Coturnix japonica: one gene and its partners. The protein of the gene in region 1 interacts with the protein of each later gene in a biochemical or structural test. Links are inferred from orthologs where the notes say so. Each region holds a gene or a part of one and is shown on either strand. Other genes may lie near its edges.

Region 1 (3,408 bases):
TCAAGGATGCCTCAGGTAGGGAATGTCTCACTGCAAGACCTTAGAGATAGGCAGTGCATTCTCAAGTAGGTAGTGCCTGCCACAAAAGGGTTTGAATCTTAATTTATACCAGTGGCCTTAAAGGGTAACAAAACACAGAAATATTTTAAATTCCAGATGGTTCAAAAAACTGAAAGAAAACATCTAAACTCCTTATTACGAATTAAAAACACGAGAGCACAGCATACTTGAAAAATCAGTGTATGAACCAGCAACAGTGTGTAACAGTCTCACAGAAGAGCCATTTCTTGGGGTGCTCATATTATTCTTTTTGACACTTAAGTTTTCTAACAATTGCTTGAATCCTTCCAACCACCTACATATACCATTCAGTGGCTGCCAAAGAGTTTTCTCATGAAATGGATTCCTAAAGCCATACGAAGCACTGTCCTCAACAAACCACTGTTTAACTAGCAGCAGGAGATTAAGAAAAAGAAATTGAAGACAGCAGATGGTAAATCTCAAATTGCACGCTTTAAGTAACCACTATGTGCCTTGAAACGAAAAGAAGCTTGCACTTAAAATTATACCGTGCTTCCACAGAAAGAGGACTGTTGGGGTCTTGTTTTTTTTAAAGCAGCAAACACTTGTCTTAGCACTTCCTCTAATAACAGCTTTGCTCTTCAGGTGTTTAATTAAAGGGCACTTTATATTTGGCATCTGGCTATCAGAGAGGACACAGCACAGCATTATTGCTTCATTTTGCCTGAATATTTCAACTTTCAGTTTTTTTGCTTTCATCAGTGCTTACAAAGTAAAGGGGAAGGGGGAAGGAAAATGCATACTTTAATAAGGTTCAATTTAAACCAACAGAGTAACAAGTTAGAGAAAAAAAACAATTACTTAAAAATAGTTGTATTTATATTCCACAATTTGATCAAATACTGTTTTTTAGGGTTTTTTTTGTTTTTTATAAACTTTCTACAGGATGTTTTAAAACAGGTTCTTCACATTGCTTGTCAACTATATACTTAGGGAAACTGAGGGAAATAGTTCTGGTTGTTTTTACAGTTTAATACATGTACAGTACCAAAACGATGGTGGTTAGTCACATGCAGTCCATATGAGATTCTAACATAACATTTAATGAATTTTCTGATGTTGACCATCCCTTTGATGCTGAAGGTAACGCATCTGTCGAAAGCAGTGACTGTAGATTTGGGTTACTGCTCTCTGCGTCTTCCAGTTTTTCAGTGTTGTCCTCCCAGTTAATGTGAAATCTTGTGACTCTGGGATTAGATGCCAAAATATTCCTTTGAAGCTGGGTGGGAAGAAAAGAAACAGATTATACAGTGTTTATGTCTCCAATCAGAACTCACATGCATTTGTGGTTTTTTTTCCCCCCTTTACTCCCATATCCATATACGTGCAAAATAATTTGTTAGTGTAATTGCAAATTCAACAATACAATAAATAAAAAAGGAACAGATAAGTTTAAGGATCAAAAATTAACAGTAACTGTGAATTCAGAGTACACTCAAGGCTTCTGATCCAATCCCTGAAAATAAAGTTTAGCATAGAAAACCACTAGCAACTTTTAAAAACCAGTTTACATATGACTTTAAGCTTAGTTACATTTTAAGATCTGTTTCAGATTATGGGGATTATATCTGCACTAGTCATTACAACATATATGAAGAACTGAGTGGAATAACATATCTAGTTCATGTACACTTGAGAAATAGCCATATTTTTATCACGACCACTGTGGACATGAACATGTATACATCAGCTTTCATAAATGGGAAGCCCCAGTTCTACAAGATCTTCCACTAAAGCAAGCCAGGATACAGCACAGAACCCCATGTGTTTGTCCACACAGGAGAACTGCTGCTCTGTTCCACACGACTTGGTCTGACAAGTTTTTGATGTTTAATTGGCTTTTCTCCTCCAGATAATTCTGTTTCACATCTCATTTTTATTCTACTCCTGGTTCAGTTTTTAGCATGAAAGTAACTGTTTTTAAAGTTTATGTTTTAACTTCTTTTCTGTGTCGTCCATTTATTGAATAGTCATCCAGCCTGCTCTTACCATGTTACCCATCTTCTCTCTTTTCATAGAGAAGTTGTTCTTCAGTTTCTGCTTTACAGAATATCAGAATAGTTGTGTAGGGACTGTGTTGAATTAACACTTCAATTTCAGATCCTAATTACCTGTCCCTTAAAAAACATGTTTCTGGTTTTTTTTGGAAGAATGGGCCACTTTGTCAACAGGGATTCAGGTAGAGGGAACCAGTCTATTTCATTTCATCAGTGTAAGCTCACACTGACATCCAAACAAAGCTTCAAATTAGCAGAAACTGTTACTGATTTCTAAATGTTCACCAAATTTAGGGCAACTGCACAGAACTTCCACTTTGTCCCCCAGTCTTTTTGTGTTATTCAATGTAATTTATGGAATATTTGGAGTTTACTTCCTAGGAATATTTTCTAAGCATACAATAGATAGACTAGAACTGAACGTGCCTTACCTTAGAAAAGTCTGGTTTTACTGGTGGATTCTCCCTCAGTTCTGTTTCCGTATATTCGTTGTTTACGTAGTAGCCTACTCTAATAAATTCTTGACCTCGATAGGTGCATGTAATTAGCACAACTGTTACACCTACTGCATCTGCATCTGGAATAAGCCCTGGGTTAGGTGCATCAGCCTAGATGTGAAAGAGAAAGACTTATTAAAATAAAATCAACATCATACGTCTACCTAGCAGGGCAATCTCAAGTAGTACATCCCAGCACCCGAGTAGAGACTGTGTGTAAATTTAAATGTTTCTTCCAAGTTAACCAGAAAGCAGACCTGCTTTTATAAAAACACCAACCCTGAATTTAGGGCAGTATCCTCTAGAGACAGAATTACTTACAACAGAGTAATATTGTGTGCTGACATTTCTCCAGGGTGATTAGACAGCTTTGATCCAAAACTGCTTTTCAATACATAATTAAGCTGAGCTGTTGTTTGAACAAGTGTGCCAATACCTCTCTAATTCTACAGTGCCATTATTCTCTAGCCCACCTTAGTAATTTAGTACAAGTATTTCTTTCCGTACCTCTTAAGTTGACTTGATCTGTACGCGTTTTTTTTAATATGACTAAACCCTTAAAAATACAGATTGTAGTTTATATTTCAGCAAGAGCAGGACAGGCTACAGTGAGGGCTGGACTGTGTCACAAACATCTAGGAAAGGAAGAAACAGCGTCTCTCACCTGCTTCCACATGCTTACAGTTCACAGAATCACAGAATGACCCGGGTTGGAAGGGACCTCAAGGATCATGTAGTTCCAACCCCCCTGCCTGGCAGGGCCACCAAACATACACATTTACTAGATCAGGTTGCCCAGGGCCCTGTCCAACCTGGTCTTGAACACCTCCAAG
Region 2 (3,500 bases), on another chromosome or scaffold:
TGATGGCAACATACAAGAAAGATGGGCTTGAACTAATGCAAGCACACAGAAAAAGTACTGAGATGACACGAAGAATAGAAAGCCACGATGCAGAAAAAAGCCAAACACTATAAAAATACAAGGGAGCAAGTATCAGGAAGGGAAACAACCTATTTCAAAGAAGACAAGTGTTGGTACAGGAGCAAACAAGTACAAAATGGCTACAAGTAAACAGTTCCATAAATTAGAAGATTAAGTTTCTAATGATTATAGAACTGAGGTTATGGAACAAACTTCAAATCAGAGATGAGTGGGTACAAAACACCAAATTTAATACAAATGGCTCTAAGTTTACAGAGCAGATTACATGACCTGAATGCTTGGAAGGACAGGTAACTTGACCCAGTGACTGAAAAAATCTCTCCCAGTACTACATTGCTGAGTTTATGCCATTTTCCTTACACTGACTTATCCTCATCTAAAACTAACTCAAAACTTTCCCTCAGAGAAAGCAAAAATTATAAACATGGAGATTTATCATCAGTGTCTAATGGTCACAAACAACTTTAAATCTGTCAGTTCCCACCACAACTAGTGCATGTGGTGCTTCCAATGAAAGCCAAAGGCCCAAACTTTTTGAATAGTGTTGCTACAATTATATATTTAAACTCATGTTTAAATTGGAGCATTAAGGAAAGCAGCAACAGTCTAACATTTCCAAAATGCTTCAACTTGGATGACTGTCTTTTCACAGGACGTGCACATTTCCATTCACTCAAGAGTATGCGTGAGGCTTTTCTTCCCAGAAATTCTCAAGGAAAAGACTAAATCTATTACATGCAACTTCCAAATACAGGAAAAGTTGAAGAAGAAATCGGAAGGACACTGGCTTCCCCATTTAGAGTTAAGAACCAAAAGCTGAATCCTATTTTGCTATAGGCAGAAGAGGAGAAAAATGAACGGATCAATTCACAAAGTCTGGTCAATATAGTTTTTCTATTCCACTCACCCTGACACAGGTACTGTGCACACAGGCTCAAAGATCTCTTGTATCAACTTGCATCTTTAGGGAACAAATTCTAGAAATGGCTTTTCTGTTAGCAATCAATTGGGTGGTTTTTTTTGTCATCTCGCTCTGTAGGCAGCTTTAAGATTTCAGGTTTTTGGACAAGTATGTGGGTACACACAGAAAACAAGTTACAGCTCCTCAGCTGTCATTAACCTTTAGGATGGAAGAGTAAATACTCTTTTATCCTAAGGACATTACCTTCTGGTAATCCCTGCTCTAAGATTTCCAAGGACTAAGCACCCACACTTAATCATCACAGCTCTGTCAAACATCTTTAACTACCTGCAGCCAAAGATTAAACACCTGCTTCTTCTGGGAAACAATGTTTATAAACCAGAGATTTGCTCCACATTTTATATATATATATTCCTAACTTATTTCAGTTATGGCACTATTCCTGAAATTTCATGAATATCAAGATCCACAATACTGCACAAAAATCTTTGTTTGTCATTCTTGTTAGTATTTTTAATCCTAGCTATCTCAAGGAATTAGCTTTATGAAAGCATTTCAGAAGCCTCAAAAATATCCTAAGAAGAGAATCAAACCAGGCATTACCAGTAAGTTCCTGCTCCCTGTGAAGTTAAATCCATTCCATCCACACCATAGCTATCATCATCCATAATTTTGGACAAGCCAAAATCAGTAATTTTTATTTCTCCACATGCTGTTCCATCTACAAGAAGAATATTACCTAAACAGAGGGGAAAAAATACATTTTTAACTTCAAAAAATACCACCGGAATGCTTCGTTTCCAAAACAAGCCAAAATTTTCAGGAACATTCAAGTTAATGAGGGGTCAATGACATCTTTACATCATTTTTATGAACTTGAGTCTAAAGTATCTGGACTGTGACATTTCAGTGCTGTCTCAGTAGTGATAACGCAGAGTGTTCCTATCATGTTAGATGGCTTCCTCAACTTGGAGCTGTCAGGACAGCAATATAAAACAGTATACCAGCCATAATGAAATTTTGTACTTTTCTGTCCAGAAAGAATTCTAAACTACACATTTCAGGGTCTGCACATGCCAGGAAATAGTGCCAATGCACTGCTGCAGTTCAAAAAAATACAATTCCACACGTTAAAGTTGTGCAATAATTTCATTTTTTAAAATCATTTGACAAGTTTTCTCTAAAAACAGAGCAAAAACTAATGAGACTAAGACTATATGCTTCACAATTTCATAATATTAAATCTGTTATCCTTTAATAGAAATCTGTATGAAAAATTCAGCAAGCAAACAGCCTGGCACTAATGGCTACACTACAAACCCTAGACTTGAAAGTCTAGCAGATTAAAATTCACAAAAAATGTGAAAGACAGAATACAACAAAAGTACATTGTTAAAGACAGTATTCATTGTTATTATTACTAAAAAACTTGACCAGGATTTAGAGAAGAGATCCAATTAACAGTGGTATTTAGACCAGCTTCATGAAGAAAAGCTGAACTGTTTCAGATAAAGATGTAGTAAAATAAGACTATAAACATGCAAAAATGCATAAGGAAAAAAAAATAGATTCAGAATCAGTAAATCATTCTGCAAAGTCCTTGTTGAAAACGTTTATCCTTAGATGCAGAAAGTCATTATTTCAACCCTTTATAGGCTAAGAAATATATAAGGAAAATATTATTTACAAATCAACATTCTATAATGATCAGAGAGGATCTTACATGCTTATACTGTTAAATACTAATGCATCTACAGGCTCTATGACATCTTCCTACAAATACAAACCAAAATAACACAAAGGAGAAAAGTTGTAACAAGTAGTTTTATAAAAAGAGACAGATTATATTAACTGTAAAATTAGGAAAAAAAAGTATCTACCTCTCAGATTAAAATCAATCTGACAAGCCAAAGATAACTGCTATTTTGAGGCATGAATTATAAACAAAATGAGGGTAAAAATGTGATGACATTTTCAATTTTGTTATTTCTCATTTACCTGGTTTAAGATCATAGTGTATAATAGGGGGCTTGATCTCATTGAGATATCGTAGTGCATTTACTATTTGCATTACAATGGACCTAGCTTCCTTCTCTGACATCAATTTATGTTGCTTGAGATAGAAATCCAAGTCATTGCCTTCACAGTATTCTAACACCGTGCAAAACCTACAGCAGAATTTAGAGACATAATTAAATGACATATCCAACTGCAAGATCAAAGTTATGACAATCTAGTTTAATAACAATAACTTTAACAACAGCTGCCTGAATATTAAATTACATGAATGAAATTGTTAATAAAACATGGGGCAAAATGATTAGATTATGAAATCTGACATCAATCAGAACACAAACAACTCACCAAAAAAGAAAACTTATGCACACTGAAAAGGTGTTACAAAATAGTGTTTTCATCACTCTATAGAAGATCTCCTCAACACATGCACACATACTCATATCTATCTGTGACAAACTAGTGGTTGGGGTTTTTTCCT
Region 3 (3,500 bases), on another chromosome or scaffold:
CTTCCAACCCGGGTCATTCTGTGATTCTGTGTGATTCTGTGGTTCTGCAATCTGCGGTAGTTTTTTGTGAGATGTATATTTGTTTTGCTTTCCGTGTAGTATCTGTTAGAAGTTTTGGTCTCTGTCTATGCTGATAAAATCATTCAGAATTACACTTGTTTATGAAACGTAAGTCACTGCTATCCATAACCAATACGTTCCTTGCAACTATTGAGATTTATGTAGGAACAGTTTCAAATGTGTGTGATTTTTTAATTATTATTATATTTTTTTAACCCCAAAACATGTACAGCTGTTACATTTACCTGTACCTGTTTGTCTTAATGATCAGTTCCTTTGCTGGCTTTTAGAGGCCACTTAGAAGACGTGTATGATATTTGTTGGACCTCAGATGGGAATTACATGGCATCTGCCTCCGTAGATAACACGGCTATAATGTGGGATGTCATTAAAGGTAAGTACTGCATTTTATCCATTGTGGTTCCAGCCCTGATGTATCCCTGGGTATTTACCAAAGTAATTAAGCGCATCTTTATTTAGTGAGAGAACAGTCAACTTACTTGGTAGATTTCTGGAATTGTGAGGCATTTAAAGATTTAAAGATACTTTCAGGTCAACAAAGTTTATACACAAGTAATCACTTCAGATTACTTGGAAAGTGAATGTCACCCTTTCTTCCCACCTCCCTCAATCAAGCTCATACCCCACGCTCCCCAACAAGTAAACAAAATTTGACTGGTATCAACGAACTACTTCAGTTAAATCCAGAAGAACTTAGAAGGTGGTTGTTTTGCAAGCTATGACACTTCTTTACACTATGGTCAGCAAAACGCTTTTGTTCATTCTCATCCCTCTGCTGTGGGATTGCTCATATTCTCCTAGAAAAGCCCTGTGGAGGTTTGACCAGTTTAGAATATTTAGGACACTGCAGTTCCCAACTGCGTGTTTATAGCTGCCAATAACCAACTACTTTAGGCTCCTTGACAGGAGTTTAGTATTTTCTGATGAGGCAATGTGATCGTTACTTTCACTTCTAATTTCATGTGGATATAGTTGACTTTCCCTAAGTATAACTTCCATAAGTATAAGCATTCTTGCTGCTTTCTTTTAGCGTGGAATTACTGCTGTGGAGGAAATGTATATCTTCTAGGCAGTATCAGAACTAGTAAGTCAGAAGTAAGAAGCCAGTACTGGAAGATATAGGACTTGTGTTGAAGTTGTTAGCCATGAAAGTAAAGAGTTCAAGGAGAGCTGAGATTGCATAGTTTAAGAACAACAACAAGAAAACAAAACAAAAACCTGAATGAAAGAAAGAATATTAATAAAAGAAATCCATGGGGTTTGTTGAGTACAAAGACAACATCACTGGCTTAAGGAATTGTTTACTGCTGGAAACTCAGAGGACATCCTGGCTGCCCAGGGAGGTGGTGGAGTCTCCTCTGGAGATATCAAGACCCACCTGGACGCCTACTGTGTGACGTGGTGTAGGGAGCCTGCTTTAGCAGGTGGATTGGGCTCAATGATCTTAGAGGTCCTTCCAACCCCTACAATTCTGTGATTCTGTGAGAAGTACCATTGTGTGCTCACTTTCTTCTTATGCTCTTAGGCATCTGCTGTTGGGCACTGTCTGAGAACAGGGACTTTCGGACCAGAAAGACTTACGGAAATTTGCAGCACGACCTCAACTCTTTGTTATCTTTTCAAAGGGCTGCGTAACTGACAGTTAAAATGAAGTATTTTATGAGAATGACATGTACCTGTACGTTGTCCTAGCACCAAAAATTTTGATATGCTTTTAGTTTTGAAATGTGCACATTTGATGCGTGACCCAGGCTGCTTATCTGAGTTAGTTCTCAGGGAACAGCCCTTGAATTGTCATTGCCAATTGTCTGCATCTAGCTGCTTTATTTCTAGAATTTACCTGTTTCTAACATTCTTGTCAGGTGCCACCGGGATAGATTTGCATGTTCAAAAGATTATTTGTTAACATTTTAAAACATTCTACTTTGTTTTATTTCTGAAATGAAGAAATGTTTTTAAAGCATGTTTGAATTGAAAATTTGGGAACTGTTTGTAATTTCAGGACAGAAGATTTCAATATTAAATGAACACAAGAGTTATGTCCAAGGAATAACCTGGGATCCTCTAGGCCAGTACATTGCAACTCTGAGTTGTGATAGGTGAGCTGTTGCTCTAAGTGTTTTGCCTTGATGTTCTTTCTTAAACATACTTATAAGTCGTGCTCAGGTATATGCTATAAATGTGACTTTTGTATGGGTTCGCATTGTTCTGTAAGAAGGTTGAGGTGAAAGCAACATGCTAATTTAGTTAGCTTTATGACTGTGCTAAATGATTCCTGAGGTATGAATGTCTTCTAAATGACAGGTAAGCTTAGGTAACCTTTCAAAGAAAATTGTCTTTAGGCAATAAGTTTTCATGCCATTAGCCATGAGAGATACCAGATGCATCTTAAAGAGACGGCTGCATTCTCTGGTTGTCAGTGAGTTAATAAGTCCATCCTTATCAATACATTTTACAGAAAGATACGAACAGGTTAAGTAATCAGTTCAAGTGTTTTTCCACGGATACCTTTCTTTTGCCCTCTTGCTCCCTCCCATCCCCAGCAGTTTTGTAAGTGATGTCACTGGGAAAGCAAATGCACGCTTCATAAAAGTTGGGCCTTGTCAGAACTTTGCAGTTCAGCTTAAACTGTTAAGGGCATGTGTGCTGCTCTGAAGGGATTGCAGCTGGCTAATAAATGCATGTCGTCTGGCACCCACTGCAAAGAAAATTGCTGTCATAGTGCAGAAGTAGTGTTAAGATTTACAGTAGGCTATGAGAAATGGTGAGTTAATGACTTCTAGTTCATTATGAGCCTCTGTTTTTTGATAATCACTTACGTGAAATTTGCTTGCTTTTATTAAAATGAACAGCAGCAAAACATGAGTAATATTGTGATGCACAAGTTTTTCTTGGAGTCAAGTCACAAACTAGAGCATGAACTAATGTGAGTAGAGGAAGTTCCCTACCTCCTCACGTTTCAGACACTTCTGCAAGGTTGGCAAATATTATCTAGCTCAGCAAGAGTCCAACAAGAGCCAGTGCTGGTGCTTGGACTGGATGTTCAGCAGCCTGGAGTGGGGAGATTTCCTCTACTTTTGCCAGGCCAGCTTAGCTGTGTGGCACCCAGAGCCTGTGGTTCCACAGCTGCCTCAAACCTACTGCTGAATGCCACAGCATCGCCTTCTGTTTTTTCCTCCTTCTTCCATCAGGACTTTGTGGAGCTGATTCAGCAAAGCAAAACTATCTTCTGTTAGGTTAGTCTTCTACCAGCCTAACCAGTGTAACCCAGCAAAAGCTTTAGTGGGTGTCAGAGCTGGCAGAAGGAGCGGGACATTTAGACAAGCCCTTAGAATTGCTTTGGCTACCTGCTGTTTTAGTGAGATGAAGTCAGCAGAGCTCAAACATTCTCCTTTCTGTAACACTCCAGTTTTCATTTA

Evidence for each region.
Region 2: of the proteins of ASF1A (region 1) and TLK1, one has a biochemical effect on the other in vitro, tested with the Homo sapiens proteins (3 studies listed by BioGRID). The link is inferred for Coturnix japonica from reciprocal best matches to the Homo sapiens genes ASF1A and TLK1.
Region 3: the proteins of ASF1A (region 1) and CHAF1B form a complex in vitro, tested with the Homo sapiens proteins (2 studies listed by BioGRID and IntAct). The link is inferred for Coturnix japonica from reciprocal best matches to the Homo sapiens genes ASF1A and CHAF1B.

Annotation. Positions count from the first base shown.
Region 1 is NC_029518.1:57,099,836-57,103,243, forward strand, and holds the end of ASF1A (histone chaperone ASF1A), read right to left. Parts: intron 2,687-3,408; coding exon 2,510-2,686; intron 1,301-2,509; coding exon 1,088-1,300; 3' UTR 501-1,087; downstream 1-500. UniProt on the Homo sapiens protein: Histone chaperone that facilitates histone deposition and histone exchange and removal during nucleosome assembly and disassembly.
Region 2 is NC_029522.1:16,215,894-16,219,393, reverse strand, and holds part of TLK1 (serine/threonine-protein kinase tousled-like 1), read right to left. Parts: intron 3,172-3,500; coding exon 3,002-3,171; intron 1,743-3,001; coding exon 1,607-1,742; intron 1-1,606. UniProt on the Homo sapiens protein: Rapidly and transiently inhibited by phosphorylation following the generation of DNA double-stranded breaks during S-phase. This is cell cycle checkpoint and ATM-pathway dependent and appears to regulate processes involved in chromatin assembly.
Region 3 is NC_029516.1:96,003,866-96,007,365, forward strand, and holds part of CHAF1B (chromatin assembly factor 1 subunit B), read left to right. Parts: intron 1-350; coding exon 351-454; intron 455-2,083; coding exon 2,084-2,180; intron 2,181-3,500. UniProt on the Homo sapiens protein: Acts as a component of the histone chaperone complex chromatin assembly factor 1 (CAF-1), which assembles histone octamers onto DNA during replication and repair.